3 linked regions of the Mytilus edulis genome follow. The protein of the gene in region 1 binds, or shares a complex with, the protein of each later gene. Links are inferred from orthologs where the notes say so. Each region holds a gene or a part of one and is shown on either strand. Other genes may lie near its edges.

Region 1 (10,694 bases):
CTTAAAATATCTTAAGGTAGAGAAAGCATTCACCTGGGATATTAAGTGGCTGTCATCTTGGACCTTCACTTTTGATACATGTTACATCAAAAAGAAACATTAAACTTTATCATTTTTTTCAGAAAATGTACTTGCTCTAAAAAAAAATCTATCCTTTTCTTAAATGAAACATTTAAAAAAACGAATAGGCTTATTGATTCTCCAAGGTAAACAGCTTTTGCAGATGTGGTCAATGTAGATAGGGGAATAATTTAATCAGATATTACTCAGTATACGTGTGTAGATTATTGCGTTGCGTTGTGTATTTGATCGTAAGTTAACTAAGGCGTTAAAGATAGAACTACGTCTGCCATTATACATTTCTATTCAATACAACATAAAGTATTACAATTACGCGACGTCACAAAGATAGTGGCCGTACCGCAAAAAGGTACGTTAATATTAGCGCAATTCTTTACATTCTGGGGCCGCAGAAAATGATATTTAACTCAAATTTGAAATACAATATGAAAAATTCGTAAATTTGAAATTAAATGTCTGATCAATTGTGACATAAATGAAATAAAATTATAGTTAAAGTCTCTCAATATTTTTTAACTGTTCACGTCTGAATAGTTTAACACTTTTACAAGTCTATCTATTGCGTTGCGTTGTGTATTTGATCGTAAGTTAAATAAGGCGTTAAAGATAGAACTACGTCTGCCATTATACGTTTCTATTCAATACAACATAAAGTATTACAATTACGCGACGTCACAAAGATAGTGGCCGTACCGCAAAAAGGTACGTTAATATTAGCGCAATTCTTTACAACGTGTTAATCAAATTTGACACTATTTGTGAAATTGCATAAAAGAAGAACGACTTCTGATCACTTCTATTTCTATTTCCTGACAATATTTGATATAGATAATGTGGTTTTTAAATATTGTCAATTTCTGTAGATTATTTTTTGTTTGTTGCCCCAAAAAATATTAGATCTATGTTTCTAAAAAAATAAGATGACCTCAAATTTTCATTTCAATTTACATTCAAAACTCTTTCCAATTTTTTTAACATTTCTACCATTTTAAATTAGAACTACAAATGTAATTTACTTATAGGGCATATGATAAATTAGTACAGGTTAATAATAATGCATCCAGAGTTTTTTTTACGCTTGATTGTGTTGTTTTCCCCAAATCTCTATGTATTCATACCAAAGTAGAAAAACAACATACCTATATAGTATACTGTAGATTCATTTATTTTCGTGGCTACCAATTTTCGTGGATAAAGGAACACTTGAATGTTTGTGGATATTTCATTTCGTGGTTCTGCCAAGGTCTGCATACAAGCTTATAGAAAATTTGTCATTCGTTGAACATTTAATTTCAGGGTTTATCTGTAACCACGAAATCCACGAAAATTGGTATCCAACGAACAATAATGAATTTACAGTACTATAATTTTTTAAATTTCCAATATACCTTTTTTCACCAGAACTCTTGCCAAAAAATATTGCCTGTAAATCTACAATCTCATCTGGATGCTGAGGACACTTTGTGGAAGAAATTCTGAAATGAATTGGAAATAATTTACTGTGATAATAATATAAATAAACATCATTTGGCACCATTATATTGTCTCAAAATGTACTGAAATAAAATAAAATCTTTATCTGGATCATAATTTACCTCATCATTATATTAAATATTGATGTATCTAGATGTTCTATGAAAAGCAAATGTTACTACATTAGCAAACATAAAATTATTTCATGGTCTGGTTGACATTTTACTAAATCCTAAATAATTGACTGCTTTCTAATCCTTTATTTATACATACTGTGTTTGTTTGAAAAATCCACATGATAGAGGACACACATAGAAACTAACTCCATAGTTAGGTCCAGCTTTAGTTCCAGTCTTCAAATAGCAAAGTTGTTCTGAAATATGTATAAATTTAACAAAATGAATAATGCACTTGATTGTAAATTCTGTATGTGCCTGTCGCAAGTCATGAGTCTGTGATTCAGTGAGTGGTTGTCGTTTATTGATGTATATTATATTTATTTTTTTGCTCTGATATTAAAAAGGAAAAAAAACGATGATGAACATAGTTTTAATTATTATTACTGCCAACATTTAAAATTAATTTTACCAAGTTAGATTTTCTGTGTTGCTAGACAATATGCAAAGACGTTTTTTTGTTTTATTCAAAATTTGAAATGCTATGTTTTTATTTAAAAAATTATAGCCTCACATCCATCATATGTCTATAACAAGATCTATAAGAAAATCAATTAAGAAAGCATCACATTCAAGAAAGGACCTGGGGAGAGCACTGTTTGAATATAGGATTTTTTACCAGGAAGAAGCAGAAGGATATGGCAACAACCAAACTAAAGGTTTTTTTTCAGGATTTCCATTATCCTTACAGATCACTTCCCATTAATTTGTATATGATATATCAAAATGACAATTGGCAAACATCTGCAGATTACTTCAGATTGTTAAATCTGTCAAGGTGTACATATGATCATGATGATTTCCCTCAATGTTCTTTATCTGTGTAACTGGATAGCATATTGCTTACCAGAAAATCACATTGTCTCCACTGGGAGTAGATCTTTGAAGCAAAGATTAAAGAGATAAAACAATAGATCAACATGATCAAAGGAAGCAATCTAGACACATCTGATTCATATAAAGTTTGACAACTCAAAATCAAAACATACTTTATTTCAGATCATGTTTTATGAATGTCATATGCATTTTCAGTATTGTCAGTTATCAAGAAGAAAATGCAAGAGATTTAGCCTTTGAACATGTTGAAGTAAAGATCATAGAGATAAAACAATAGATCAACATGATCAATAGAAATTTTCGCGCATATAAATGTACGTGTCCCCCCCCCCAATTGCTATATGTCCGCCACTACTGGACATCATAAAAGTTCACGTAAAAAATTTTGACATCATAATTGAATATATCTGATGCCACAATGGAAAAGTGATTGTTGTATGACCATGATAACATCAACATTTCAAGTGGGACAAATTCCAGGGTCAAGCGGGACAGACTTCCAAATACTGAAATTATAGTGTTATGGTGTATTCAGTATAAATAGATCACTTCCAAGTTTGTCTGTCACCGGAGAAAACTCGTCAATTATGCACGCCTTTATGGCGTCATTTACCAGATAGAGGGGATCGCCTGTATCCCTGCACTATAAACATTTATCAAGCTTCTTAGTGATCGTCATTGTGCAGGATAAACTAAAAATAAGATTTGTTCTGTAGGTACTTAATATTTCCTAATGACAGCAGTGCTGAAAGAAAATTATGAGAATTCAATTTGTCAAATAATTCACGCAATATAGCTTTATAGTTTTCCAACCACTCGTTCAACATTGGAATGGAAGTGACGATACCCTATAACACACGAATGAAGTTTACTAAAACCAAAGTTTTTAACGGAAATGCATCGAACACGAAAGTTGTCTATTGTCCAAGAGTTAATAATTTGGCAGTCCTGCATAATTTTTCAAAGTAATTGTGACGTCACAATGTACATTACAATATACCATTTAGAATTTTTATATTTTGTTTTAACAAGTTATGTTCCATCATAATTTGTGTTCATGGTTTTTTTTTATTTTCTATTTCACAAGTATTTGTCACTGGCTCTGCAGGCACCTTTGTCTGAAAATAAATGGTGTTTAAGTACTTTGTGTATTATTCAAGACTTAAAAAATTTCTGAGACACTTCAAACATAACCATACTATGTTCTGTGCATTTTATTTCCTCCATTTTCAGATTACTCATTAGGTCTACTTTCAATTTGAAAAACTGCAAATTTTATAAATCCCGCGAATATCCGCGAGACTTTGAAGAATAAAAGGTAGAGCCGTGAAGTACGTAGAGATATTATTATTGCACAGAAATAAAAACATCCACTTTAAAACTAACAAAAATATGCCAAACTAGTATGTTCTCATGGCCATGATGAATTAGTATCTTATTCCACATCAATATTAGAACATTTGTGTTCATTAGTTTTGACCAATTGGTATAACCTTGCCTTTATTCAATCACAATTGTTAGGTTTACTTCCGGTTTTACTTTTCAGCTGTAATGTTTTTTCTCTAAAGTAGAAGTTTAACCTATTTAAGTATTTAGAGATGACAGAAAGGAAACGGGTCCAATTATGGGATCCACATAAACTGTATGATTTAAGCCATGCTGAAATGGACGCTATACGGCGGCGATCAGAGCAAAGAGCTGCTCTAAAAGCTGAATGGCAAAGGAAGGTCACTGATCCGTTCAAAGCAGAATTCCCAGTATGTTCATAGATAACTATTCCTGTTTGCAATATATTGTACTAAACTTTTGAAGATCATGCATTTGTTAAAATAGTTTCGGACTAGCAAAACAAAATGCCAAATTGGACAAATAAACATATATATATAAACACATTGCAAAAAATTATCTTTCAAATGTATATTTGAGGATAGGAATCGCATCCACTTGTCTCAGATTTTTTTTTCATTCTAAATACCTAAATACAACACAAGGTACATTTGTCAAGAATTTATATCATTTTTAATTGGTTATGAAGGTAACCCCTTAGCCCCCATTACAAGTAACAACCCTCAGATTTAAACTTGTATCCAGTTTTCTCCCCTTGTTTTATTTTTATAATATTGGGGAGTGCGCTATCAGATACACCTTATCGCTATTACCGGCTGACCAGAGAATCTGTCCCACTTGGACTAGTGACGTCATACAACAATCACTTTTCTATTGTGGGTCTGAATTTTGATCTAGAATTTTGTATTATGACGTCAACATTTACAGGAACCTGTGTGATGTCCAGTAATGGCGAACAAATAGCGATAAGGTGTATTGAGTTGCTTTTCCCCTTGGTGATGTTTGTACATTAATGTCATATTCTTATTATATACATTTTTTTAATAAATTAAAATTGGAAAAAAACACTTTATTATATTTCAACATGTATACATGCATGTCAGACATGGTTTCAATAAAATATTTTTTGGTGACAAGTACAATAAAATAGTGACAAAAAGACAACTTTATTGGCATGAAAAAAATCTCTATAAACAATATATTTATCGAAAAAGGTCAACATGATCAATGAATTATATATATAAAAAAGAAGATGTGGTACATGTATGATTGCCAATCAGACAACTCTCCACAAGAGACCAAAATGACACAGAAATTAACAACTATAGGTCACTGTACGGCCTTCAACAATGAGCAAAGCCCATACTTGATTATGTGTTGTATTTATAAATTTTTAAATGTTGTTGTAACTATCGTGTACATGTATCACTACGTCTTATAGTGAATTTTCAGATAGTTTTTTATACACCATTACACACTTTTCATGCATGTATTAATCTGATTATTTTTGTAACAATCAAATGTTTATCGTGCTCTATATTAAGCATAATAAAATAATGTAAATATATTAAAAAACACACACACATTGATGCATGTTTCAATTTAATGTTTAATATCTATTTGAGTGACTAATTTATATTTAGACTTCTTGTCAAGAAAATTGACGAAATTTGTTTTCTTGTCGCTAAGTAAGTCTCCCTTTGCTAGATTATTCTTCTTGTCGTTAATTATTGAGATTCCCCATAACAGAATGGAAGAATTCAGCTGCATTTTAATTGTATTTATTTAGTATTGAAAATTACAAAATCATAATCAACAAAAAATCCCATATTGTAATTTCAGTTTGATCCAGCAATACAGAGGTTTAAAGCATTGAAAGCGACACAGTATGATCATTTTCGTCCAACAAAGAAAACTGGATTAGTTGGTGGTTTATTTCTAGGAGTTATTCCTGCAGTGTTATTTAGTTATGTTTATTACACAAGGGTATGTATCAAAAATTATTCTTTCTGCTAAGTGATTAGTCTGCTACTTTTATTATTGTGAAAATATAAGACTCTTTTTCTCGATTTTAACTAATAATGAGAACTGATAATTCTTTAAATTTGAAGTAAACAAAAACAACTTTATAACATAAGTAGATGCATGCTTGTTGATGAGACAACTATCTAAATGAAGAGGATTTTTAAAATTGTATAAGCAACTAAAGGTCTACATACAGCCTTAAACAATGAACAAAAACCCAATCTTTTTAGTTCTATATAAAAGGCCCTAATCTTTATGTTAAACAATTTTAAAAATGAATAAATAAACAACAAACAAAAACAAATGTGACAAACAGCAGGCAAAGACAACCACTGAATCAATTACAGGCTCCTGACTTTTAACAGACACATGGAATATGCATGTGGCAGCATTTAACCCTCCTCTTACCAGGGACAGTGGTACAATCACAGTACTTATATATTAATAGCACAATGTTTGAACAAACTCTGAAAACCAATTGGAAATGGCTTGATTCATAACATTGACGCAAAGTATAAACAACAACTCATTCGTCAACTGACTTAAAGACACTAGAGATATAAAGTGCAGATTTGAGAGTGCTAGTAGTTACTGAGAGCTAGTTCAAAGCTAAAATTAGCTTCTAAATAAATCATGTATCCCTAAATGTCCATGTGGCATTAAATATAAATACAGTAGATTCAATCATAATTTATTGTCTTCTGGTATACTGACATGAGAGTGATGAGATTGTAAACACAAATTTACAAATATTCTGAACTGACAGATGAACAATATTAAGCACCTGATTTGACTCAACTTGTTTGTTTTTATACCTTGAGAAAATTATAAATGATTATTATGAAATATGAATAATATGATTATAAAATCTCTGATAAAATAAGATATATGATCAAACAACATTAATTAATCTCAGTAGATATGACCAAGATATCTGGTTTCCTCAGATGATCTTCAGTGATGGACTAATACTCAGTAAAACATGGGGGAAAATAGGACAAGAAATGTAAATGGGACAGCCAACAACTGATCCCAGTTAACCGTAATTGACTGCTTTGATTATACCATGCATTCTTTGTCATATAAAAATATATTTTTTTATCCTTGCAGCAAGAATTTGAAAGAAAATGCAGGGCAGGAGAAATACCAGCAAAAGATAGGACTTGGAAATATGTGTATTAACTTTGTAAATTTGACAGTAAATATTCTTCATTAGATTTTTGTTTATGACACTTATTGAAGTTGATTGTTTGTATGACATGTATGGAATGAGATACAACTCTCAAAACAAGATGTGTTTTTGTTTGTTTTATTCTGCCTTCATGTTAGTGGAATTGGTATCAATTGAGTATTGTTTATCCATCTTTCTGTAATTGTTAAGCTTATACAAGTTAATCTACCAGTTTATTGATGTTTCACCAATACTCCTATAAAACCAGGTGTACACAACTAACCATTTTCTACAAAAGGAAATGCCTGTACTAAGTCAAGAATATGACAGTTGTTTATCATTTGTTTGAAGAGCTTGAACTTTTTATTTTGCCATTTGAGGGATTTTTTTCTTGTATTTTCCTCAAAGCTTGCTATTTTACCATTTTACTATTTACTATAATTGATGTTTGTGATACTTAAGGTATGGTGCAACCACCTTTTTGGTCACTAGAAATTGAAACTTTACAGTGTATTTTAAATCTATCATATAACATCTTCCTGGCTTTAACTACACATTAGGCTGTGAGGGATGAGTATTTATATTTTTGGGTAAGGATTGCATTGAATGCAATCAAAACCCTAAGGTACTGACTTGATATCTAAATCTTCAAAAGTTTATCACTACCTTTCATAGTTCATAGTTAATTTTTTGTCTTAAAGACTTGATACATATCTTGTCTTGAACATTTGCCACTGGATGTTATGTAACCATCAATTAATCAATCAATCATATTCAATCATGATCAGTAATGCAGACAAGGTGTGATGTCTTGTTATCTGGTTAAAAGCTGGATGAATTCATAAATGGAATTAGATCTAATATCTAGAACCTTATTCATGTAAAAAAAAATGAAGGCAGAGAAACACAGGTCATTTGACTTCATGTCAATCTTTAGTTTACCATCATTGTATTCTGTAGTCCAACTGTCACAAACATTTGGAACTTCCGCAAATCTTTTAATTACAAATTTGCGGGTTTATTTTTATATCCATTTTAATCATATAATGTATGGAACCATGATGCTAAATAAGCCAATCACTTGATTTATAGGAAATAAGAAGAATAAACTTGAGAAATTCTCAACCATTTGAAACCTGATATGGCAAAAATACTGGTGTGAAATTCTCACATAATGTTGAAACTGAAAATTTACAGCCTAACAATGTGGCCACAAGTTTTAAATTGCAGTACAAAATGTATATGAAAAATATGAAAAAAATATGGGATGAAAACTGCTGATTCAAATGTGGAAGAAAGTTTACTTATATGTATAGTATGATAGTGTAATGACGGAGTTCTGTCTGATTTATTTGGTCAAACAATATGGCAACAAATATTAGTAACAATTAAAAATGAGCTCAAATTGAGCTTTTGCACTGACATAAAGACATTCATTCGGAAAGTGGGTGTCTCGTATGCTTATTTTATAAAATTTTGCTTTATTTCACTGTTTCAACCTTTAACCCTTTCAGCGCCGGGACGTTGTTTTGTTACAACGTTACGTTGCCATACATATGTGAATGACGTTACTATAAACTATACGTAACGTAACGTCAACATGCGACGTACACGCACATGCACTTTGTTAACGTTAATGGAATAATTAGACCACACATGGGACATGGCACGCATATGGAACATTAAATATTATATTTACAAAGAGCAGAATTTTACTGTTTTTTTATTGTTATGGTGAGAAGCCTTTAAAATCAAACATTTCATCATGAAGTTGCCAATCATTGTATTATAAAAAAAATTATAAAAACAATTATGAAAGAATTAAAAAGATTTTATTGCATGCTGATCTATAAGACAAAAACTTTCAACATTTAAAAGTTGTATTCTCATTCCTCAAAGTTGATTCTGGTGTGATATCTTTTAAAACACCTGCCGACGCAGAGTCCAACTTTGCAAATTCTACACCACCACTGAATACGGGATTTCTTGAATCTGTCTGTCCCAGCACACACCACACATTTCTTCCGTTTACCATCTGGTATTCTTTCTGGGAAATGCCTCTCAGTTATTCTGCCCAACTGTCGATGCTCCAGCCTGACTGTTCTTATTTGTTGGTTTCTACTTCCATCTCTATGATTTCCTATCAAATCCTGACATAATTGCTGTTGGAACTTTAAATGGTCTAGTTTTGTTTCAACAACAAAAGTTCTTTTGTAACAGATGAAGGCATTAACTGAAAACGAAGAATAAAAATAATACATATTAATATACGTACCAATGTCTTCCACGAGTAAATCAAAAGAAGAAAACAAAATTGAATACAAAATGAATTTAGGCTTGTTCGATTAAGATACATGTCAAATACGCAAAAAATATAAAGAAAAATGATAGAAAAAACATTTCAAAAAAATATTTCAGCATATGACAATGTGTCTAACCTTTGTTCTTGTATACACGCATTTAGGAATTGAAATAATCACGAATAAATAAATGCATTTCGAAAAAAAAAAATCCAGGTGAAAAAATATATGAAAGAGAAGGCCAGTTACTGATAAATATATATTAGGGTTATTTCACTTCTTGAACAACTATACAGGTTATGTGATGTCTTTACAGCAGATTTCAGTCAGTATGTAGCTAATGGTAATAGCTTGCTTGTTAGCTGAACCGTGAAGTTATTGTTAGGTAAGTTATACTACCATCCTTTTAAAGTAGCTTAGTCCCACAGTGAGATAGATTGGTTTTCTGTTGGGCAAGTCTACTATTAAAGGAGGGAAGTTTAGCTAACCTAACAATGACTTCACGGTTCAGCTAACAAGCAAGGTAACCAAAGAGATTACCTTTAGCTACATACTCACTGAAATCTGCTGTAACAACTATACAAGTTTATATGTAGCTTTTCTATTATCTTTTAATCCATTTCGATATATAAAAATTTGAATCGATCCATTTCATATGACTTTTGTTGATAGTTTTCTCATTGTCAATCAATATTCTCCTTATTTTATAAAGAAATATGTCAATGTCTTTCGACAAACATTTATATATTCTAAACTTGCAATTTATCTTTTACCTGCAGCAGTAACTAGTTGATGGAAAAGTAGTTTTCTCCACATTTTCACGCTTTTAAAATTTGGCTCAAACTGTAAGAGAAGTTGATCCCCTAGATCTACTCCACCCATTGTAAAGTTATAACGTTTAACAGCGGATGGAATGGCCAAATCTCTTCCTCTACTGTTTGTTGTGTTAATCATGCTACAAATTTATAAACATTTAGTTTTCTTCAAGAACATGAAAATATTTTCAAGAAGGTCGAAAATGCATTTATAAAAAAGTAAACTCAATATTCAGATTTTATTTGTTTTAGATTACAATCATCTGTTCTAAAATTAATTTATTTCAATTGAAATAAGTTTCTGTGGTGTCTGTACCGACATTTTTAACTTGTGCAGCATTAAACATGTCACCGTATTGATTTTAATTTTCGATCATAGTATATTTGATCAAATTATCATTAAAGAAGCAATAATATTATAGTGATTATAATTTCAACATTACTTTGATGAAACATTGTGTACTTCATT
Region 2 (10,656 bases), on another chromosome or scaffold:
AAATCAATCGACTGCATTCAGACAATGATAGGACATACCAGATAATTGAGGATAGTAATCCGACTTTTTCCCTTTTTGTGTCGTATCGCTGACTGATCTCAAACGGGAGCAATAATCGGCAATGTGTAAACCCCGCATAACATTCGGTGAAACTCAATCGATTTTGTCTAGTCGGATTACAAGCGTGACTATGTCGTGACAGATTCTGCTTCATCGGATAAAATGTTAACAATGTTCTGTGTTTTCTGGACGGTGTCTTGTGGTACTGGAATGATCTGGAGAAATTTTTAATTAATGTTTTTTCTACCGAATGAGTCCAGATTGCATCCAGATCTTGTCGTTTGTGAACCATCTTCAAGTTTGTCGGAAACGTTCCGGGATAGTCCCGTTATTAATATGATATTCGGCAATGATACCATGTCAGAGTTCCGATAATTACAGAACACAATGCGACTGGGCCCAGATAAAGTCGTTTGCAATGCGGTAGAGCGGACCGTGGTAGTATTACGTTCCGACAGTACATGATCATTTCGATTATGCCGACAGTTTTCTAACAAATTTAATCCGTCAGAGTCGGTTCACTGTCTGGCCACTGTCTGATCTCTGTTGAAATTACATTTGGTAAAATCGGGACGCAGTTATGACAGATTCGGCCGATTTTTACTATGCGAAAGATACAAATCGGATTAGAATCGTATTGAGAACGTCATTATCGGGACAAATTCGCTTAGAAACATTGGAATATCGATGCTAGCTGAACAGTATCTGATTGTTGTCGTGATTAATTTTAATTTTTATTTTAATTTAAGTTGAATTTCCATCAACGATTCACAGGATCTTGATCACACTTTATACAAATTTTAATCGGGAATGGTCCTGTCAAGGACGGCAGTAAAAATCGCGAATGTGTGACCCCAGCTTAACAGCAGAAAATCTTAGAATATAATTTATCGGTACTAACATTGAATTTGTTTTTGAAAATCAGAACATAACTATATATGCATCACTATATGCATAATTATGAGAACTCGTGAGATCATACATCCTCTCGAAACTGTTTACTCATATTTTAGCTATAAACATGCGTTTATATGACGTGAGTTAATCAGTAAGCACAAGTATTCTTATTTCGGCATTAGATGTACATGCACCTCGTACCAATACTCTGAATAAAGCCGATTGAAACTGATTTGTACAGGTTTTTAAAAATTATTTTGTGCACTTGTGCTCTTACACTTAGTATAATGTCCCAGTTTAGGGAAAGAGTTGAGGGCTCACATATATAACCCCGCATTCTGTTTATCGAGCACCTAGGGCTGCTTTGATGTTACTTTCGTTTGAGCGAACATGGACCAACATCGGCATTTGAAATAGCCCTAATTGTGAAAAGTAACCTCTAGTTATTGAAGTTTTATTGGTTTTCATATTTTTTTGAAACTTTATTTCATCTGGAATATATCTGTTTTATATATCATTTCATCTGGTATAACGTTGAAATACATAGTCTTCAACAGAAAAATTTCCGTAAGATGTGCGCTGGTTAAAACATTTGAATTTTAGCTTTAGATGACTGATAATTTTATGGTCTGCTATTTAGACAAAGTTTACAGATACAAATTTGAAATATCATACTCAAAAGGGTCGCTGATGCCATGTCGAATACCTTAAAACGAAAAGGATTTGTGACGTTTTTGGCACCGATTTGTACAGTTATTATTTGTAAAAGAGCAACAACTCGACTTTGGTTAAAGGTATGATACATTTAGAGAAAACTTATTTAGTAGGATATTAAGATTGTTCTGATTCTACGGAACATACGAAGGCATGTATTAATTATGCAGATTTTGGATTTTCATTTCTCACGATGGAGAAAATTGAAGACAATTTTGCAAACGATATATTGTCAGATGGTTGAATGAAAACAAATATACGGCTGATGTGAAATATTTCTTAAATTTTAGAAGATAAAGATAAGAGAAGATAAAGATAAATGATAGTTTATAAAAGTATCACATATTGATCTACAATAAAATTACAAACCAAAATCATAAAAAAAAGGATCAATACCCAGCCTATAAAGACTTACGAGACACTGTATACAAACAAAGGCTATTTCAGTTATACTGAAGGAAAATGTTTATAAAAAATAAAATCTGGTATGAATGCAAACCATGCCACGGTTCAAATCAATAAATGAAAAAAACATGTATGACAACAACCAACGAGATACCTCATTTTCCTATATTAAAAAAAAACACACACAAGTAATATTATTATTCTCATGATTCAATCCACAGGCAACTGTCTCAGAATTTTTTTTCCTATATACATTAATATATCATTAAGGTACCAATAGGGAAACAAAATTGGAGACAAGTGCCTGTGATTAAATCACATGTAAAAGCCTAATTTAGGTAAATTACAGGTGAAATCGCGAAAACGTAATACCATTTCTTAGAGCAAATGTAAGGCTTGTCATTTTCAAATTCGCTAAAAGTAGGTCGCTCATAATCAGAGGTTTGATATAATGCGTGATATACTTGTAGTATACTTATTTCAATTGAGAATTATTTTTTAGCGAATTTTAACATTTGAAACAAAAATAGTACTTTCAAACTTTAGGGAAGATCTCTTGAAAATAGAATACTCTACCAGAAGTCATTATTATAATGTATAAATCAAAACATGACCTGACACCAACATATTTATCCAATCGTATTGTGACTACAAATAGTAACAATCGTACAATACTTTTATTAGCAGATAATTGTATTTTCCCTAAATTAAATACAAAATAATTATACAAATCAAGTTTTTCCGGCTTTTCTTTTCATAAAACTTAGTGTGGAATTCACTATCCATTGAAATTAGTAAATAAAGTATATCTGCAATCAATTACTCTTACAAGTCTTTTTCTAAAGTGTAAAATTTATAAGCTACGCCACAATGTATACCGTATAGGTGGGTTTTTTTTTTGTTTTTTTTTGTTTGTTTGTTTTTGTTTGTTTTTGTGTTTTATTATTGTTATATATATTTGTGTTAATATACATCTATTGTTTATATGTGTGTAATAAGGTTATAAGATTAATTATGTTTACTTAATTTTGTTCATGTAGTTGCTATTGTATGTAGAGAGCCTTATTGAAAATTGGTTTAATGCAAACTTGATGAGTTACTCTCTTTAAAAAAGATATTATTATTATGTCACCCTGACGGAGGTCGGGTGACATATTGTTATTGTTCCAAATTTTTATTTTTTTTAAATTTTTTTTATTATTAATAATGATTATTATTTCACTCTTTTTGTCCAGACTATTTCTCGGAATTGTATGGACCAATGATGATTGATGGAACTTTATCATAATGTTAACCCCCATGTGTAGATGTGCAATCGGGGGCTGGCACTTTAAAGATGGCTGCCGTTGTCATGGAAATCGAAACTTGTGAATGTGAAAAATCGGAAAGTCTTCCAAACTGATTGAAGCGTTGTGGAATAAAATTATAATTATTATCTGTCTGTATTGGTACCTGTATGTGTACGTTGAAGACACAAATTCTGACTTTTACTCAACGGGAGAGAAAGACACCTATTAACGGTGTTGGTGAGCAGCCTTGAAGCTCTCAACTGTATCTGCGCATACAATACGGTCTTCCAGTTGGTTCCAGTGTAGTATGCTCTTGACAAAGATAGAGTTCTTATATGGATCGGTGCTGCTAGGAATAGTTTCTAGTGCCTTTAGAATTGTTCTTCACTGAATTTGTCACTATATTGGCACTTACAAAATTGTCAAATGTTTTGGGTTTGATTTTCCTCTTAGGTTTACTTTTAACAAGAAAATCGTCGGGATTAAGAGCTGAGACCAACACCTCAACCACTTTGTACAGAAATACCAGCCGCTGACTTGTTCTTCTCGTTTGTAGGTTGTCTAGTTCCAACTCGGCTAGTATTTTGGTTACCGACCCCTCTTCTCTAAACCTATAGTCGCCTGTAATGAATCTAGCTGCTCTGCATTGTATACTTTCAATTGATTTATATCATGCTGTGTATATGGTATCATATTATGGCACCATATTCCATAGTTGATCGTACTAATGATACATATGCGGTCATTTTGCAATCTTTTGGGCAGAAGTGTAGATTTCTTCTTAGAAAGCCGAGTGTGTAATTGGCTTTCTTGGCTACATTTGAGATATGCGTGGTCCATTTTATGTCTTCTGATATTTGTAAGCCTAGGTATGGGTTGCGTTGGACTTGTTGTAGTACATGTCCGTCTAGGCTGTACATCATCTGGCTTTTGTTCTTGATACTAAGTATATAGCACTTCTTTGCATTGAAGCGAATGCCCCAGTTTTTGGTCCATACTTCTAGGTTTTGGAGGTCTCGCTGTAGGAGTGTGTTGTCATGTTGACTATTTCTGTTCCTGTACAGGAGGCAGTCATCTGCGAAAAGTCTTCACAGAAGATTGTACTGAATCTGGAAGGTCGTTAATGTGGCAGAGGAAGAGAAGGGGTCCTAGTTCTGTACCTTGTGTTACACCGGAGTCAACTGAAGCTTCTTCTGATTCCTCCCCATCTACGACAGCTTTCATTTTCCTTTGGGTTAGGAACATCTCCAACCATTTGTTTAGTGGTCCTCTTATACCGTATTCATTCATTTTGTGCAGCAGTTTGTAGTGTGGCACAGTGTCAAATGCTTTGGAAATGTCCAGGATATCTACATCAATTTGTTTCCTGCGTCAAAGGCTTTCATGAAGTCATGTAGTGTGACTAGCAGTTGGGTTGCACAGGAATAGCCTGACCTGAAGCTATGGTTTAGTGATGTAAGTACTCTGTGCTTCTCTAGATGATTATTTTTTTTAAAGTATATGTCTACAGATAATATGTTCCAGTAGCTTGCATGGTACAGATGTTAGTGATACTGGTCTGTAGTTTTCTGGTGCATGTTTATCTCCCTTTTTGAAGACACTTGATATATTTACGTTTAGCCAGTCTCTTGGTAGTGTACCAGTGTTGATGGATTTTGGGAATATCATTGTAAGTCCAGGTGCTAGTTGTTTTGAGCATTCTTTCAATATACGGTTTGGTATGCCGTCTGGTCCTGATGCCTTGGATGTATTTATTTTTTTTCAGCAGCTTTTCGACTTCATCTGGTCTTATGTCTAAAGGCAGTATTGTGCTTTTTATATGCTTTGATGTTGTCGGCAGAGTTTTGTCTTTGGTTTTCTTTGCCTGTTGATATAGCCTTGTTTTCTTTTAAAACATTTTCCTGATTTTATGATTGATCCAGGGTAGACTGGTTTTAGATTGGATGAGTTTTGATGGTATATGGTTGTCAAGGTTCGAAAAAAGGTCTGTCTTGAACTTGTCCCATAATTCCTGTACTGTGGCGCCTGTATGGTACATTTCAATGGTGTTGGTTGAAAGGATATATATAGTCAGGTCTTTGTGTAGATCTTCCCATTTTGCTTTGGAGTATATGTAGCATTTGCGTGGCTTCTTACTCTGATAATGTGGTTTTATGTCGCAGTCTGTTACAATCATATCGTGGTCAGATTTTCCTGGAGCATTAGAAGATGTTTTGATAAGTGACGGGTTTGAAGTGAAGTTAGTCAGCACTATGTCCAGTAAGTTATTGCTTCTTGTTGGTGTTTCGTGTATCTGTGTTAGTGAGTGTGATATGATAACTTCCATTAGAGCTCTTTGGATTTCCTTGTCTTGTGCATTTTGGTTTGCGGACATGGTGTTCCAGTTTATGTCTGGGCAGTTGAAATCTCCAGTTGGTATGATGGTTTGATTTTTGTTTGAAATATGGTCTAATGATTTATCTAATTCCTTTATAAATGTGTTCCATGTTCCGGTGTCAGTGGCATATAGAATGAGCCTTATTATTATTATTATTATTATTATTATTATTATTATTATTATTATTATTATTATTATTATTATTATTATTATTATTATTATTATTATTATTATTATTATTATTATTATTATTATTATTTCCGCAATATAGTTAAATTGGGGCGGGTTGATAAGAGTGGGACGATTTTTTTAAAAAGAGGGGCGAGTTGGTGAAAAAGCGGAGCTGGTGTGGGTCGATTTTCCAATGGGGCGAGTTGATCACAGCTTACTATAAAAACATGGCGAAGAATCAACACATCCAACAGAATGAAGGCCCGCTGGTCAATAATTTCGAAGTACCGTCATGGTGTGTAACTAATAACGTATTTGAAATTGTGACTGAAACATATGTTATTCATTATTTATGCATATAAATTTAATTTTGACAGTGCATAACATAAAGAGGCCAAACCGAGTGTCTGTAATTCACTGTTTATTCAGTCTCGGGCATTTCTCTTTGTAATTATATACTTTTTTTAAAGGTTCATCATAACAAACGGACAAATATGGCTGTATTTACATTCCAAAAATTACTCTGAGTACAGACTTACCTGTAAAGTTTGAAAAGTTTTAATGCCTAGCATCCATTAGATATAATAAAGTTAAATGCATTTTGTGTTTCAGAAAGATAAAATCTCTTTTGGATTTTGATAGGCATTTTTTTTCCTTCATGCAAAAGGTTTGAAAATTGACCAAGTTGTGGTACAACTATGAGATGCTCCCTCAGGTAAAAAAACGGTTTGTATTGTTTTCACTGTCCTTAATTGACATGGACACCAGTAGTCCGATTACTCTGACGTCCAACGGCTGTTTTGCCAGACAAGCTGGGGCCGTGGGACGTCAGAGCTCGTCCCATATCAAAACGTGTATATTTGCCCACCCAAAATAGATGCGCTGCTTCGTTGCTTCTGGTGCCGACTGACGGCCTTGGAATTATATAAATCGGGCATCAATCTGTTCATTTTTCATTTATCTCTTCATTTATGTTAGCTGCGGAACCGTAGCTCTTATGTCCTTATGTTATTTTTTGACTATTTGCGGACCATAGAGCTACAGATTTTTCCTATTACAAAATGTTCGGAATTGCGACCCAGGTTCAGGTCGCACTTATTTCTCAAAAAAAATATTGTTTATAATCCATGCAAAACTTGTCAATATATATAGTTCGTTTCGTTAGATATTTTTCTAGGATATGACGTACCTATTTATGTTTGAATATTCATTTCCTTAACACTATTATCTAATTATTTCCATTTGTATACATTCTCCGCCTATTTTATTCGGTCATATTGAATCTCTCCGTGACTAGGACACCAGGTATCTTCACAACTTTGGGTGAGTTAAAGAGTTTATCTGAGTCAGTGAGTGGACAGTATCAAAGTAATTCAGGTGTTTGTTTATATTTGCACCTTCTGCAGAAAGGAAAAAAAAATGCCCATCAAAAACCAAGAAAGATTTTATCTTTTTTAAACACAAAATGCATTTAACTTTTATATATCTAGTGGATGCTAGGCATTAAAACTTTCCAAACAGCACAGGTAAGTCTGAACACAGAGTAGTTTTTGAGGTGAAAATACGGCCATATTTGTCCATTTGTTATGATGAACCTTAATTACACTGGTCACTTTTTCTGATATAATTATGTTTCGTCTGAAATGTGAAGCTACTCATAAACATTTGACAAAAATAGTTGTGTTAAGTGTTTACACAATATACATGTACTACTCTGTACAAACAAACCTTAAAACTGAGAAACCACATCTACTTACAGTAACCTGTTTGGTCTACAACTGGGGCTTGTATCATAGTGTAGTGACTTAAGTATACTAATAGATATATAAGAGTGTCGCTGAGTACTCTAAGGTTGAGAGTTACAAGGGTCTGTGTACAGCACCAAATTCCAGGCTCCTACCATCAGGAAACACGTCTGTTAGCTTGGACGTCTATATTAACTCTAAGGGAACTCCTGACCATTGGGAGCTCTCTTGACTAATGCATATTGTGTTTGATTGTACGTAACCGGCGTACTCTACAATAGATGCATTTAGTCTGGAATATGTCAACTGGTATGCATTCTAGACTACATGTTCAAGTCAAAAGTCGCCCAGGTAACACTATATTTAACAATCTGATCTACAGTACATGTACATCTATATGTTGACCTAGTACAAATAATTATGACGTCTTGTAAGGCTATTGTAATTTTTTTCTTTGACGCCTTACTTCGAAGTAAGAAGAAAAAAATTATAATAGCCTTTCAAGACGTCATAATTATTTAGACTATATGTTGACCATGTGATGTTATAGATTTAAATCAGGTTACTGCATCCCAAACTGTGGAACATGTATACAATTCTAGTTTTGATAAAATGCAATCATCACTGATCATAGGATTGAACGTTGATTTCAATTTAGACTTGTATGTATCTATATATAGCTACATTTTGTACATTAATTACCTATATTGTTCTTGACAGTGATCGGTTTTTTTTACCAACCACAAGCATAATGCCAAAAATCTTCAACAAGTCATGTGTAAAAAATGTAAAAAAATGCGAGTTCAAATTATTGGGATTACATGCAATGACATGTATTACCCTGTCACATTTTTTGCATTAATAAAAGCATCGCAATAATTTCTGAATTTACTGAAATGTTTCTGTTAATATATTTAGCTTTTGTTGTAAATTTGAAATTTTGAAATGAAAAGTAATACAGTCCTAATTTTAGAGAAAATGTTCCATTATCTGTTTTCACAGATTGTTGTCTCATATATTATGAGGAATATTAATTTTTGTCGAGCCTGCAACTTTTGTTGCAGAAAGCTCAACATAGGGATAGTGATCCGGCGTTGGCGGCGGCGTTGGCTAACTTTTTAAAAGCTTTATATTTTAGAAGGTGGAAGACCTGGATGCTTCATACTTTGTATATACATATAGATGCCTCATGTTACGAAATTTCCATCAGTCACATGTCAAATGTCCTTGGCCTCATTTTCATGGTTCAGTGACCACTTGAAAAAAATGTCAAATGTCCTTGACCTTATTTTCATGGTTCAGTGACCACTTGAAAAAAAAGTTCAGATTTTTTGTAATGTTGAATTCTCTCTTATTATAAGTAATAGGATAATTATATTAGGTATGTGCGTACCTTGCAAGGTCCTCATGCCCGTCAGACAGTTTTCACTTGACCTCAACCTCATTTCATGGATCAGTGAACAAGGTTAAGTTTTGGTGGTCAAGTCCATATCTCAGATACTATAAGCAATAGGGCTAGTATATTCGGTGTATGGAAGGACTGTAAGGTGTACATGTCCAACTGGCAGGTGTCATCTGACCTTGACCTCATTTTCATGGTTCAGTGGTTATAGTTAAGTTTTTGTGTTTTGGTCTGTTTTTCTCATACTTTTTGCAATAGATCTACTATATTTGTTGTATGGAATGATTGTAAGGTGTACATGTCTAGTGAGCAGATGTCATCTGACTTTGACCTCATTTTCATGGTTGAGTGGTCAAAGTTAAGTTTTTTAGTTTTGGTCTTTATATCTAATACTATATGCCATAGGTCAACTATATTTGGTGTATGGAAATATTTTATGATCTATATGTCAGCCGCGCAGGTTTTATTTGACCTCAACCTCATTTTCACGGTTCATTGCTCAGTGTTAAGTTTTTGTGTTTTGGTCTATTTTTCTATAAGTAATAGGTCAACTATATTTGTTGTATGGAAGCATTGTTATTTGTACATATCTGCCTGGCATGGTTCATCTGACCTTGACCTCATTTTCATGGTTCATTGGTCTTTGTTTAGTTATCTTGATTAATGTTAAGTTTATGTGACAGTTTTTAATAAAGCTTTATACTTTAATAGGACTATCATCATAATATCAATGATTAGTAAATAAGGCGAGACATTTCAGCGTGTGCACTCTTGTCTTATCATCTTATGATTCACTAATTATATATGACATCTTCTGCTGAATTCAGAATCATAATAAAAAAATAGATATAATTTGCTGATTAACATGACATGTATGATATGGGATATACTTTTAGGGCAGGCAAACCACCACCAGGCCTCCATTTGGATGTTGTCAAAGAAAACAAAATGGTTCAGGTAAGCTAGATTTTACTATTATGAACTAAAAAGAATTAAAAAAAACCTTAATTTTAAGGATGAGAGCATTAAAGTTTGTCATCACTGAGATTATTATCCTATCCCTAACCCATTTAACCCTAACCCTATATAGATATCAAAATTTTATATTCTGAAACTTCAGGAATAATATAGAAAGGCAGTGCCTCAATGCCATTCATGGTCAAAATGATGGTATCAGGTAATAGACATTTTGTATCTATATACTAGGGGACATAATTATAACTATGTCACCATTGTAATCCAGATAAGAGGAATTCTATCTCCTTCTTGGTGATATACTGTGTTTTATATTTTAATTTATTGACATTGTAAATTAAGGAATCAAACAGTGTTATTTTTAAGTTTTCAAAATTACTACTTATCACATGGATACTCATCTTGATGGTAGGGCCACAATTAAAAATATTTCAGTTTTCCCAAACCCGACCCATGATGACTATATAGTTTGTGGGTAGGTAGGTAGGCAAATCCTTTTTTTTTACCAGAATTTGCATGAAAATATTAAAACATTATATCTTTTTATTCTGTCAAACCTTTGAAGAGCAATGAATTTAAAGACATGTTCAAAAAAATATTTCTGACAAAAGTCAGATTTCT
Region 3 (10,028 bases), on another chromosome or scaffold:
TTTTAACCATTTTCACAGAGACCCATCGATTTCTGCATTTTGCTTTTCATTTTCAAAGATTATCACGTGACCATGAGAAAACAGTGATGATTTATGCAAATGACCATAATGTAACACCTCGTTCATTTACGATGCAAGTTATCTAAATGTCCGAGAGCTTTCGATTGTTCTCGTGGTTGGAACTAAATGCTTAATACCGATTTCCTGTAAAGGAGGTGAAAAATCGTGGTTGGCTACTAAATGTTAAACATCGATCTCCTACAAAATTTGCATATTTGAGTCTCGAGGCCACAAACTCTCTCGTAACTTGACGTCCATTTGAAAGTTATGAAAAAATATAATATAGATATTCTGTGTTTGAATGAAACATTTGAAACTGCTTCAACACCGGTAACTTACAAAGACTGGAAAGTATATTCCACCCCTCGAAAAGGCCAAGCCAGAGGCGGTTCAGCAATTTTAATTAAACCAAATCTAAATTTTGTTTGCAAGAGGAAATCAGAATATGAACTTGATACAATTGAAATGGTCTGTTTGGAAATTCAAGACAGATCTAATAAAATCTTTAATTTGTGGGTGCCGTATGTACCTCCAGAAAAAGCTGTTCTAATGAAAAGTTTATGTGATGCTGTGAAATTATCAAAATTAAAAAACTTGATCTTGCTTGGTGATTTCAATGCAAAGAGCCTTGAATGGAATAATGTCAAAGATAATAGTCATGGGCTAATACTAGAAGAATGCATGACAGAAAATTATTTAATTTGTGTAAATGATGGACAATATACAAGAAGAAACAGTCAAAGTGTAATTGACCTAGCAATTATTTCAGAAAACATATATAATGAAGTTAAAGATTGTATAACATTGACACATGAATCAATTAAATCTGACCATATTGCTGTATATTTAGATGTAAAATCGGAGGAAAAGATTGAGGACAATCAAACAACAGAAGAAATCTGGAATTTAAAGAAAATTGATTGGAATAAATGGAAAAATACAACAAAGCAAATTTTTTCATCATTTGAATATGTCAATCGTGAAAAAACAGACGACTTATATAGACGGTTTGAAATTGAATTTGAAAAATGTATGGAAGATGCAATACCTAAGATTGCAAAAAGAAAACTGATCTCCCATAGACATCCAGTTTGGTGGAATGAGGAAGTTAAGGACTTTAAAAGAAAACTTAATCAAGCCCAAAGACGATTTAAGTCTAGAAGTACATGTACACCGGAAAATTTTCAAATTTTGAAAAATGCTGAATCAGAGTTTCAAGAGATTACAGAAAAGGCCCAAGAAGAATGGGGGGAACATTTAGGTGAAAAATTAACAAATGCTCGTACAGCCAAAGACAGATGGAATGCCTTCAAAAAAATGACAAAGAAAACAACAAATAATATTGTTTTACCCTTTATAGATTGTGATGGAAAGGTGCTGTTCAATGAACAATTGAAATGTGAAGAACTTGAGAAAACATACTTTAAAGGAAATCATCTGAAAACAAGCAGCTTTGATCAAACCCATTATGAAGAGATCATGAAGAAGTATTAGAACATCAGTGAAGAAATGTTTGACCAGGAAATGGAAGAAAAAGAATACAATGAACCAATAGATCCAGATGAACTAATAGGTGCCATTCAACGTTTAAAAAATGACAAAGCACCTGGACCTGATCAAATTTTTTCAGAATTATTAATGAAGGCAGATGAAAGCTTATACAGTGTGTTGTCATATGTGTTTAACAAATCTTGGGAAGAAGGAAAACTTCCAAAACCTTGGAAACTAGCAAATGTTAAATTTATAAGGAAAATGGGAAAGTCAACATATAATAACCCTTCTTCATATCGTCCAATTAGTCTCACAAGTATACTGGGTAAAGTTATGGAAAGAGTAGTAACATCTAGACTAGAAGGTTATATAGAGACCAACTCCATATTGGATCCAGAACAAGAAGGGTTTCGCCACTATCGCTCTACTGAAAATGCCTTGTTAAGTTTAACTCAAAACATCTTTAATGCCTTCAATAACAACGAATTTATATTAGCAGTCTTTATTGATCTTGAAAAAGCATACAACAGTGTTTGGAGGGAAGGACTTCTAACAAAACTTTATGATAACGGTGTTAAAGGTAACATCTGGAATTGGATTAACAATTTTTTAAAGGAAAGACAAGCAAGGTGTGTGATTAACAACCATAAAGGAAGCTGGTTTGAAACCAAAATAGGTCTCCCACAAGGATCAGTTATAGCTCCACTTCTTTTTAATATCTTTATCAAAGACATTTTTGCTAACCTATCATGTAAAAAGTGCAAATTTGCTGATGATGGTAATGTATGGATAAATGGAAAGAACTTGAATGACATGGAGAAACAGGTACAAAAGGATCTTAACATAATCCAGGATTGGACCAAAAAATGGAGAATTAATTTAAGTATTGAGAAAACAGAATATTGTATCTTTTCAAGGAATGGTCCAATAAAGAAAATGAATTTACAACTAGAAGGTAAATTGTTAAAATATAACTGTAATCCAAAAATATTAGGAGTCACGTTAGATGAAAAACTATTATTTCTCAAACACATCGAAAATGTAGAACAAAAGGCACATAAAGCAATTAGCCTACTTAGAATGATCAAAGGAGTTGCAAAAATTTCTACAAAAATTCTACTTCAAATTTACCAAAGTATTGTCCTTTCCACCTTAGAATATGCAAGTAGTGTTTGGCAGACCTGTGAAACCAATATAACAGACAAACTGAACAAAATTCAACGAAAGGGATTAGCTATATGCCTTAATGTTACCCCAACATCAAGTGTAGAGACTTTGGAAGTAGTTTCTGGAATCCTACCAATACATCTGCGTAGAGAAGAAATTGCAACTCGTACACTTGCAAAAATTATTTCGTATGATATCTCCATTCCAATAAAACAAATCCTGGATGATTGGAAAACAATTGACATCCCTGAAAAATATGTATCTCCAGTGGGAAAAATGATTCTTCAGGCAGAAGACATGAAGGTATGTACAGGTGTTGATGTAAATGGTATAGAAGCAGAATTTCAGTTTAATGGGATACAAAGATATAAATCTCCTCCAGATTATTGGAAAAACCTTGGAAATTCCAAATCAAGATTAACAGACCAAAAAAATGTTGGAAAACACATAATAATGGAAAAACTAAGTCATCTTCCAGCAAATTCATGTATAGCATTTACTGATGGGTCCTGTCTTGGTAGTCCTGGCCCTGTAGGAGCAGGTGCTGTCATCTTTCCATCAAATAATCAACCACAAATTGAAATTAGTAAAGCTGTATCCAAAAAAGGATCAATACTACTAGGAGAACTGATCGCCATTAAACTTGTTGTTGACCACTTTTTAATATCAGAAAACAGACAAAACACAGACTCAATTACACTTTTTTCAGATAGTCAGACCTCAATTGGAATTTTAACTTTAAACTGGAAATCAGAGAATTACATCAAAGTCATAAGAGAAATTAAGAAAAACATGAAAGTATTAAAGATGAATGGAATTCCATTAAATTTTGAATGGACACCTGGTCATGCTGATATCCAAGGAAATGACATTGCTGATTCACTGGCCAAAAAAGGAGCTAAAGAAGCTGAAAAAATAGAAGAACCATCAGAAGTAACCAGGCAGGATATAAAACGTGCAGCAAGAGAAAGTGTTTTAAGAAAATGGCAAAACCAATGGGAATCAAGTCAACGTGGCAGAAATTATTACAACTATCATCAAAAAGTCTGTCAGAAAATACCAAAAGATTTACCATCCAAATGGTCGTTTTCAATTACTTCTAGTTTGAGAACAGGTTATTGTGATCTAAATGATTATAAATCCAAAATTATACCATCATCAGACAAAAACTGTTCCTGTGGAGAGCCAGAAACTGTAGAACACTACCTTTTACATTGTTCTAACTATGAGGAGGCTAGAGAGAGGATGAGAACATCTATTTACTTCATTACAGGAAATATACACATGGATTTAGACACCTTATTAGGAATCGATGAAGAAGAAATTAATAGAGACAATCGAAATGAGATATTGTGCCATCTGGAAAATTATTTAAAGGAGTCTGGTAGATTCAAAAACACTATACAGCAAAAAACACTATAAATCTATATCAAAATTAAGTCAAAATTTTTTAAGCAGCAGCCACAATTTCAATTAAGTACATGAGTGAACATTACATATGTGAAGAAACTACAAAAGAGGAAACGTACACAAGTGTTTACAGTGTCATTTGGGACACTTACTAAAGACTAAAGACTAGTGAAAGTCAAAATTCAGAAATCGATGGGTCTCTGTGAAAACTGTTAAAATATGGAAAAATGAAAGTTGGCAGGTAGGTGAAACTTACATAAATGAAAAGATAAATGAAAAATGAACAGATTGCTGCCCGATTTATATAATTCCAAGGCCGTCAGTCGGCACCAAAAACGAAGCAGCGCATCTATTTTGGGTGGGCAAATATCCACTTTTTGATATGGGACGAGCTCTGACGTCCCACGGCCCCAGCTTGTCTGGCAAAACAGCCGTTGGACGTCAGAGTAATCTCGGACTAAAAATTCACCAACAAAATTTTTTTGTCCATTTGTTATGAACTAATTATTTACTCAATGTCATCTGCATCCTCGTTCGAATTGTCATCGCTCTCTGATGAGTGACGTCTTTTTCTGATTGCTCTACATTTTTTCTTCTTAAAAACCTCCATCTATCTTTCTTTACTTAGGTCAACTTTCTTGGCAAAAAAATACGAACATTATTAGTTTTTAACAAGGGAGGTAATCGATGTAACACAATAAAAGTTGTACGGATGGGATCGGACACGGTTTTATTCCGAATATTGTATTTTTTCTGAATTAATATTTAGGAATTTTTCACGAAAAATAATGATATATAGATAAATGAAGGTCAATGCATAGTTATTATTAAAATATGGTGGTTATTTATCGACCAGCGGCAAATATCAACAGATTATTCTATATTTTTTTTACAATATTATAACATGGTTTAGATACCGTGCATGATTGCTCGTGATCGACGACACTTAATTTATTCTTCTTCTTTATATTTCAGCACACCACCAATATACTGATGATAAGGTGCCCGGGCACTAATACCACAAGCCAGCGGGTGCGTGGGATCTAATTTCTATTTACAGTTAAATATATACAAAATGAAATAAAAATTCCAACCGATGCATAAAGTTCCCTTTTCTTCTGTTTTTTTTTTACTATAGATCATATTTAAGTGTTTAGATGTTTGTTGAGAACAGATATTGGTATACATGTGTGAATGTTGACATTTTATTGTGTCAGATTGCGTACTAAGTAGATCTGTCGGGTATATGACTACAATATGATCTATGATTTTGTAGAAGATCACGGATGCGTTCCATTTTAGGTTGGGCTCAGTAAGGATTGTTTAGCCAAGATCATTTGTGGATATTTCTTTTTGCAGCAAATGTTGCTGAAGGGTATAGTTGAATTCTAATGGGGTTTTCTTGGTTGTTATCTCAATGACCGAACACTTCTCTGGATGGAATGACATGGGCAAATCTGGCAGTGAATCTAACGGTCTTTTTATTTTCGTATTGATTTGCAAATTATGGTGTGATCTACCCCCCCCCCCCCCCCCCAAAAAAAAAAACTCAAGTGTTCTCGTGTTTGATATATACACACGGAACAGAATAGGGCATTAACTGTTCCTTGGGGGAACACCAGATGTTTATTTATTATTTGAACTAGAGATTTGAACTTGACCGGCTCCAGTGAAGGCGAGTACTCTTAATTCGGTAATTCATGTATGTTGTTTTTATTTTCACTTGCATAGTGTTTTTTACGGATCTTCGATGTCATATTGAACTGATTTGTATAGATTAGTGTGTTTTAAAGTTTTATCCCAGGTTATGGGCTTACAAACATTTATTGCGAAGGAATTAAAACCTTTGAAGTTTCGTGAAAATCATTTTGCTTTTGTCAGAGCATTTAAAATGTTTGAAGCTTGACTGTCCAATCAGTTATCTACATTGAGTCTATTTAACATAAACTTTAACAAAAATTCTCCTGAACAATACGATGGCATTACTATCATTTCCTTGCTGGAGAACTTATATTTCGTAGTTGTTTTTTGTCCTGTTCGACTAGTGTGGCGTGGGCATTGCTGGTGTACGTAGAGCTAGCTAGTCTATAACATGCCTGTTACCGCTTATATATGTAAAGTTTTCATAATCTTAGCTGAATACTCAGTACAGATTTATCTGAATTGTTCTATAATATTCGCTTAAAAATTATGATATGCAACAGCAGATGAAAAGGTTACTGCTAAAATGTCAATTCGGTTAGCTTTAAATCTAGAGCATTAATAGGAAGAAAATAGCTGACACAAATCCAGAAATAAACTGTTTCTATATGAAGTTAAGGTTTGGATTTTAAATTTGAAACCACAAAATCATAATGACAAAATGGACAATACATAAAACAAAACTTATACAATTCTCATTATTTATCAACAAGATTCCATAATGTGTTTGCGCCAATTGTCGTATAATGGTCTATAATATTGAAGCAGACCGTCAGACGATTCTATATGGTTTTAGTTCATAAACTGTAGTAATAGACAGTGTTATATTCCAGTCAGATCTTCTTAGTCAAATGCAATTCATAAAAGTAAAACAAAAACACACTCCAAAACTCCAAAACACTTATAATTATTTGATATGTTGTTTATGACATGACAAATGCGATGTTTGGGAAAACCCATTCTAGATCATTCTATCACTGACAGCAACTTTGTCAATATAGAAAAAATACTATTTCAAATATGTGTTTTAAAACAACATATATAACTGATATACGTATTGTCCGATAAAGGTCGAGTTATTTACTAGGCAGATGTCAAATATTGGAATTGTGATGAATTATATAAACTGTCCCAAATGAATTATTCATGCTAGACTTTGACAATATTACACAGGTAACGGTCAGATCGATATTCCACTTAGAAATTACCTGCAAATGTCGATTTCAAGATAATATGATTTTAAAAATAAAGGCAATTCCAAATCGATTAAAAATGTTGTATATATACCATCTCACTAAACATAATTAAATACAACACTACATCAAAAGACGGCTTTAATATCACATTAACTTTAACACGTTTTGGCAAGCAAATAACAAACTCAGCTACTTCCGGTACAGCAATACTATTGGATTTGGAATGGATTCTTAATATCAGGTTTGTATATTTTTATATTTTAATTTCCTGTAGAAGACTTTGACCACTTTCTCCTTTGGTTACAGTACACTATAAATATATACTTTTTTCAGCTCAATCAATACTCTAATTTGGAATATAAACAGCAACAGATCAGATTATGAAGTGTTTTCTGATTTGTGATGGTTGTTTACCCCAAACGATTCAGTGTATTAGATTTTGATAAATTGATCTCTGTGTCTTGATCGATAAATTACATTTTTAATTTAATCGAAATTATTGTGTGGTTTGGTTTGGAGCTTTCTGTTGATTACTCAAGACACATTTTATTATATCTTGAATGAGCCATACATGTACATGTATGTGTATTTGAAATGAAATCTGAACGTAGTTGTTTCTTATTCTAGTATGAAATAAGATATATGTGAAAGGATTGCCCCTGAGACAACTAGCCAACAGAGTTCTTAAATGAAGTGCATTCCTATGGTTACCTGCCATACGGTCGTCGACAATGAGAAATGCCAATACCATATAGTCAGCTATAAACGGCTTCGACAAATGTTTTTATCTCACCTGGCCTGGCTTTTATCATCACTTGGCGTCCGTCGTCCGTCGTCGTTAACTTTTACAAAAATCTTCTTCTCTGAAACTACTGGGACATATTTATCCAAACTTGGCCACACTCATTATTGAGGTATCTAGTTTTAAAAATGTGTCCGGTGACCCGGCCAACCAACCAAGATGGCCGCCATGGCTCAAAATAGAACATAGGGGTAAACTGTAGATTTTGTCTTATATCTCTGTAACCAAAGCATTTAGAGCAAATCTTGCATTTCATTAGGTCAAATCTATCTGCCCTGAAATTTTCAGACAAATCGGACAACCCGTTGTTATGTTGCTGCCCCTGAATTTGTAGAAAACTTTGCCGTTTTTGGTTATTATCTTGAATATTATTATAGATAGAGATAAACTGTTTGCAGCAATAATGTTCAGCAAAGTAAGGTCTACAAATAAGTCAACATGACCAAAATGGTCAGCTGACCCCTTAAGGATTTATTGCCCTTTAGTCAATTTTTAACATTTTTTTGGTAAATTTTTGTAAATTTTTGTAAATTTTTGTAAATCTTTGGAATTTTGTATCCTCAATGCTCTTCAACTTTGTACTAGTTTGACTTTGTAGATATTTTGATATGAGCGTCACTGATGAGTCTTATGTAGATGAAACGCGTGTAAATATGTGACGTTATCCAATCAAAATGAACGTTACAAATTTGTTGCATTAGAATTAGGAGATAACTGTATTGTATTTTAAGCTCCGACGGCATCAATTGAGGATTTGATGGTCGCAAATTAAGTGTACTGGCGACGCGTTAGACAATATTGTTATCTCCATTCTAATGAAACTGACTGAAAACAACGTTAAAAAATGTATTTAAAGTTTGCCATATGACGTCTGCGCAGCCGCTTGCGCGTACGTCCCATAGCATCAATTGACAATGTAAATATGTGACGTTATCCAATCAAAATGAATGTTACAAATTTGTTGCATTAGAATGATTAGTCTTATGAAGACAAAACGCGCGTCTGACGTACTAAATTGTAATCCTGGTTTTCGAACAACTAAGGATTTTCTTATCCCAGGCATAGATTACCTTAGCCTTATTTGGCACAACTTTTTGGAATTTTTGTAAATCTTTGGAATTTTCTATCGTCTGTGCTCTTCAACTTTGTACTAATTTGGCTTTATAAATATTTTGATATGAGCGTCACTGATGAGTCTTATGAAGACAAAACGCGCATCTGGCGTACTAAATTATAATCCTGGTACCTGTGATAACTATTTACAAAAATCTTCTTCTCTGAAACTACTAAGACAAATTTCACCAATCTTGTCCACAATCATCATTAGGGTATCTTATTTTAAAGTGTATTCGATGACCCCGCCCGCGAACCAAGATGGCCGACATTGCTAAATATAGTACATAGGGTAAAATGCAGTTTTTGGCCCATATCTCTGAAAACAAAGCATTTAGAGCAAATCTGACAGGATAAAATTGATCATTAGGTAAAGATCTATCTGCCAGGAAATTTTCAGATGAATCGGACAACCCGTTGTTAGGTTGCTGTCTCTGAAATGGCAATTTTGAGAAACTTGTTTTGCAGCTTTTGGTAATTATTTTGAATATTATTATAGATAGAGATAAACTGTATACAGCAATGTAAGACCTAAAAATACGTCAACATGACCAAATTGATCAATTGACCCCTTAAGGAGTTATTGCCCTTTATAGTCTATTTTTAACAACTTTCAAAATTTTGTGAATTTTTACAAAATATTTTCCACTGTATCTACTGGGCCAAGTTCATTATAGATTGAGATAATTGTAAGCAGCAAGAATGTTCAGTAAAGTAAGATCTACAAACACATCACCAATACCAAAACACAATTTTGTCATGAATCCATCTGTGCCCTTTGTTCAATATGCTCATAGACCAAGGTGAGCGACCCAGGCTCTTTAGAGCCTCTTTATATTCGCTGATACAAAATCAGAAAGTTGTTATAATAATATTTAATATATAATATACTGGAAACTTTTTTTGTCAATTTCTACCAAACGATTCGCAACAATCCTATCCGCTGTCACAAAAAAAGTTATCTTTACTTGTTCATCAACTATCATCAAATTCTAAGTGTTCTTCTTGCAAAAATCTAATTGCAATGAGACTGAATATTTGAGTAATGCTATACATAATGTGTTTTTCTGTAAGGTGACACGACTTTC

Evidence for each region.
Region 2: transcription termination factor 2-like (region 1) and nuclear inhibitor of protein phosphatase 1-like share a complex: the UniProt entries of both Homo sapiens proteins name them as parts of the spliceosome. The link is inferred for Mytilus edulis from reciprocal best matches to the Homo sapiens genes TTF2 and PPP1R8.
Region 3: transcription termination factor 2-like (region 1) and splicing factor C9orf78 homolog share a complex: the UniProt entries of both Homo sapiens proteins name them as parts of the spliceosome. The link is inferred for Mytilus edulis from reciprocal best matches to the Homo sapiens genes TTF2 and C9orf78.

What each region holds. Positions count from the first base shown.
Region 1 is NC_092353.1:33,963,835-33,974,528, forward strand, and holds the start of transcription termination factor 2-like, read right to left. Parts: upstream 3,867-10,694; 5' UTR 3,810-3,866; coding exon 3,767-3,809; intron 1,928-3,766; coding exon 1,828-1,927; intron 1,557-1,827; coding exon 1,470-1,556; intron 1-1,469. Other genes in the region: NADH dehydrogenase [ubiquinone] 1 beta subcomplex subunit 4-like, read left to right, coding at 4,166-4,324, 5,757-5,900, 7,050-7,121; piggyBac transposable element-derived protein 4-like, read right to left, coding at 8,997-9,343, 10,184-10,365. UniProt on the Homo sapiens protein: DsDNA-dependent ATPase which acts as a transcription termination factor by coupling ATP hydrolysis with removal of RNA polymerase II from the DNA template. May contribute to mitotic transcription repression. May also be involved in pre-mRNA splicing.
Region 2 is NC_092344.1:126,234,877-126,245,532, forward strand, and holds the start of nuclear inhibitor of protein phosphatase 1-like, read left to right. Parts: upstream 1-6,081; 5' UTR 6,082-6,140; coding exon 6,141-6,208; intron 6,209-9,956; coding exon 9,957-10,017; intron 10,018-10,656. UniProt on the Homo sapiens protein: Inhibitor subunit of the major nuclear protein phosphatase-1 (PP-1). It has RNA-binding activity but does not cleave RNA and may target PP-1 to RNA-associated substrates. May also be involved in pre-mRNA splicing.
Region 3 is NC_092345.1:81,922,258-81,932,285, reverse strand, and holds the start of splicing factor C9orf78 homolog, read right to left. Parts: upstream 4,814-10,028; 5' UTR 4,739-4,813; coding exon 4,641-4,738; intron 1-4,640. UniProt on the Homo sapiens protein: Plays a role in pre-mRNA splicing by promoting usage of the upstream 3'-splice site at alternative NAGNAG splice sites; these are sites featuring alternative acceptor motifs separated by only a few nucleotides. May also modulate exon inclusion events.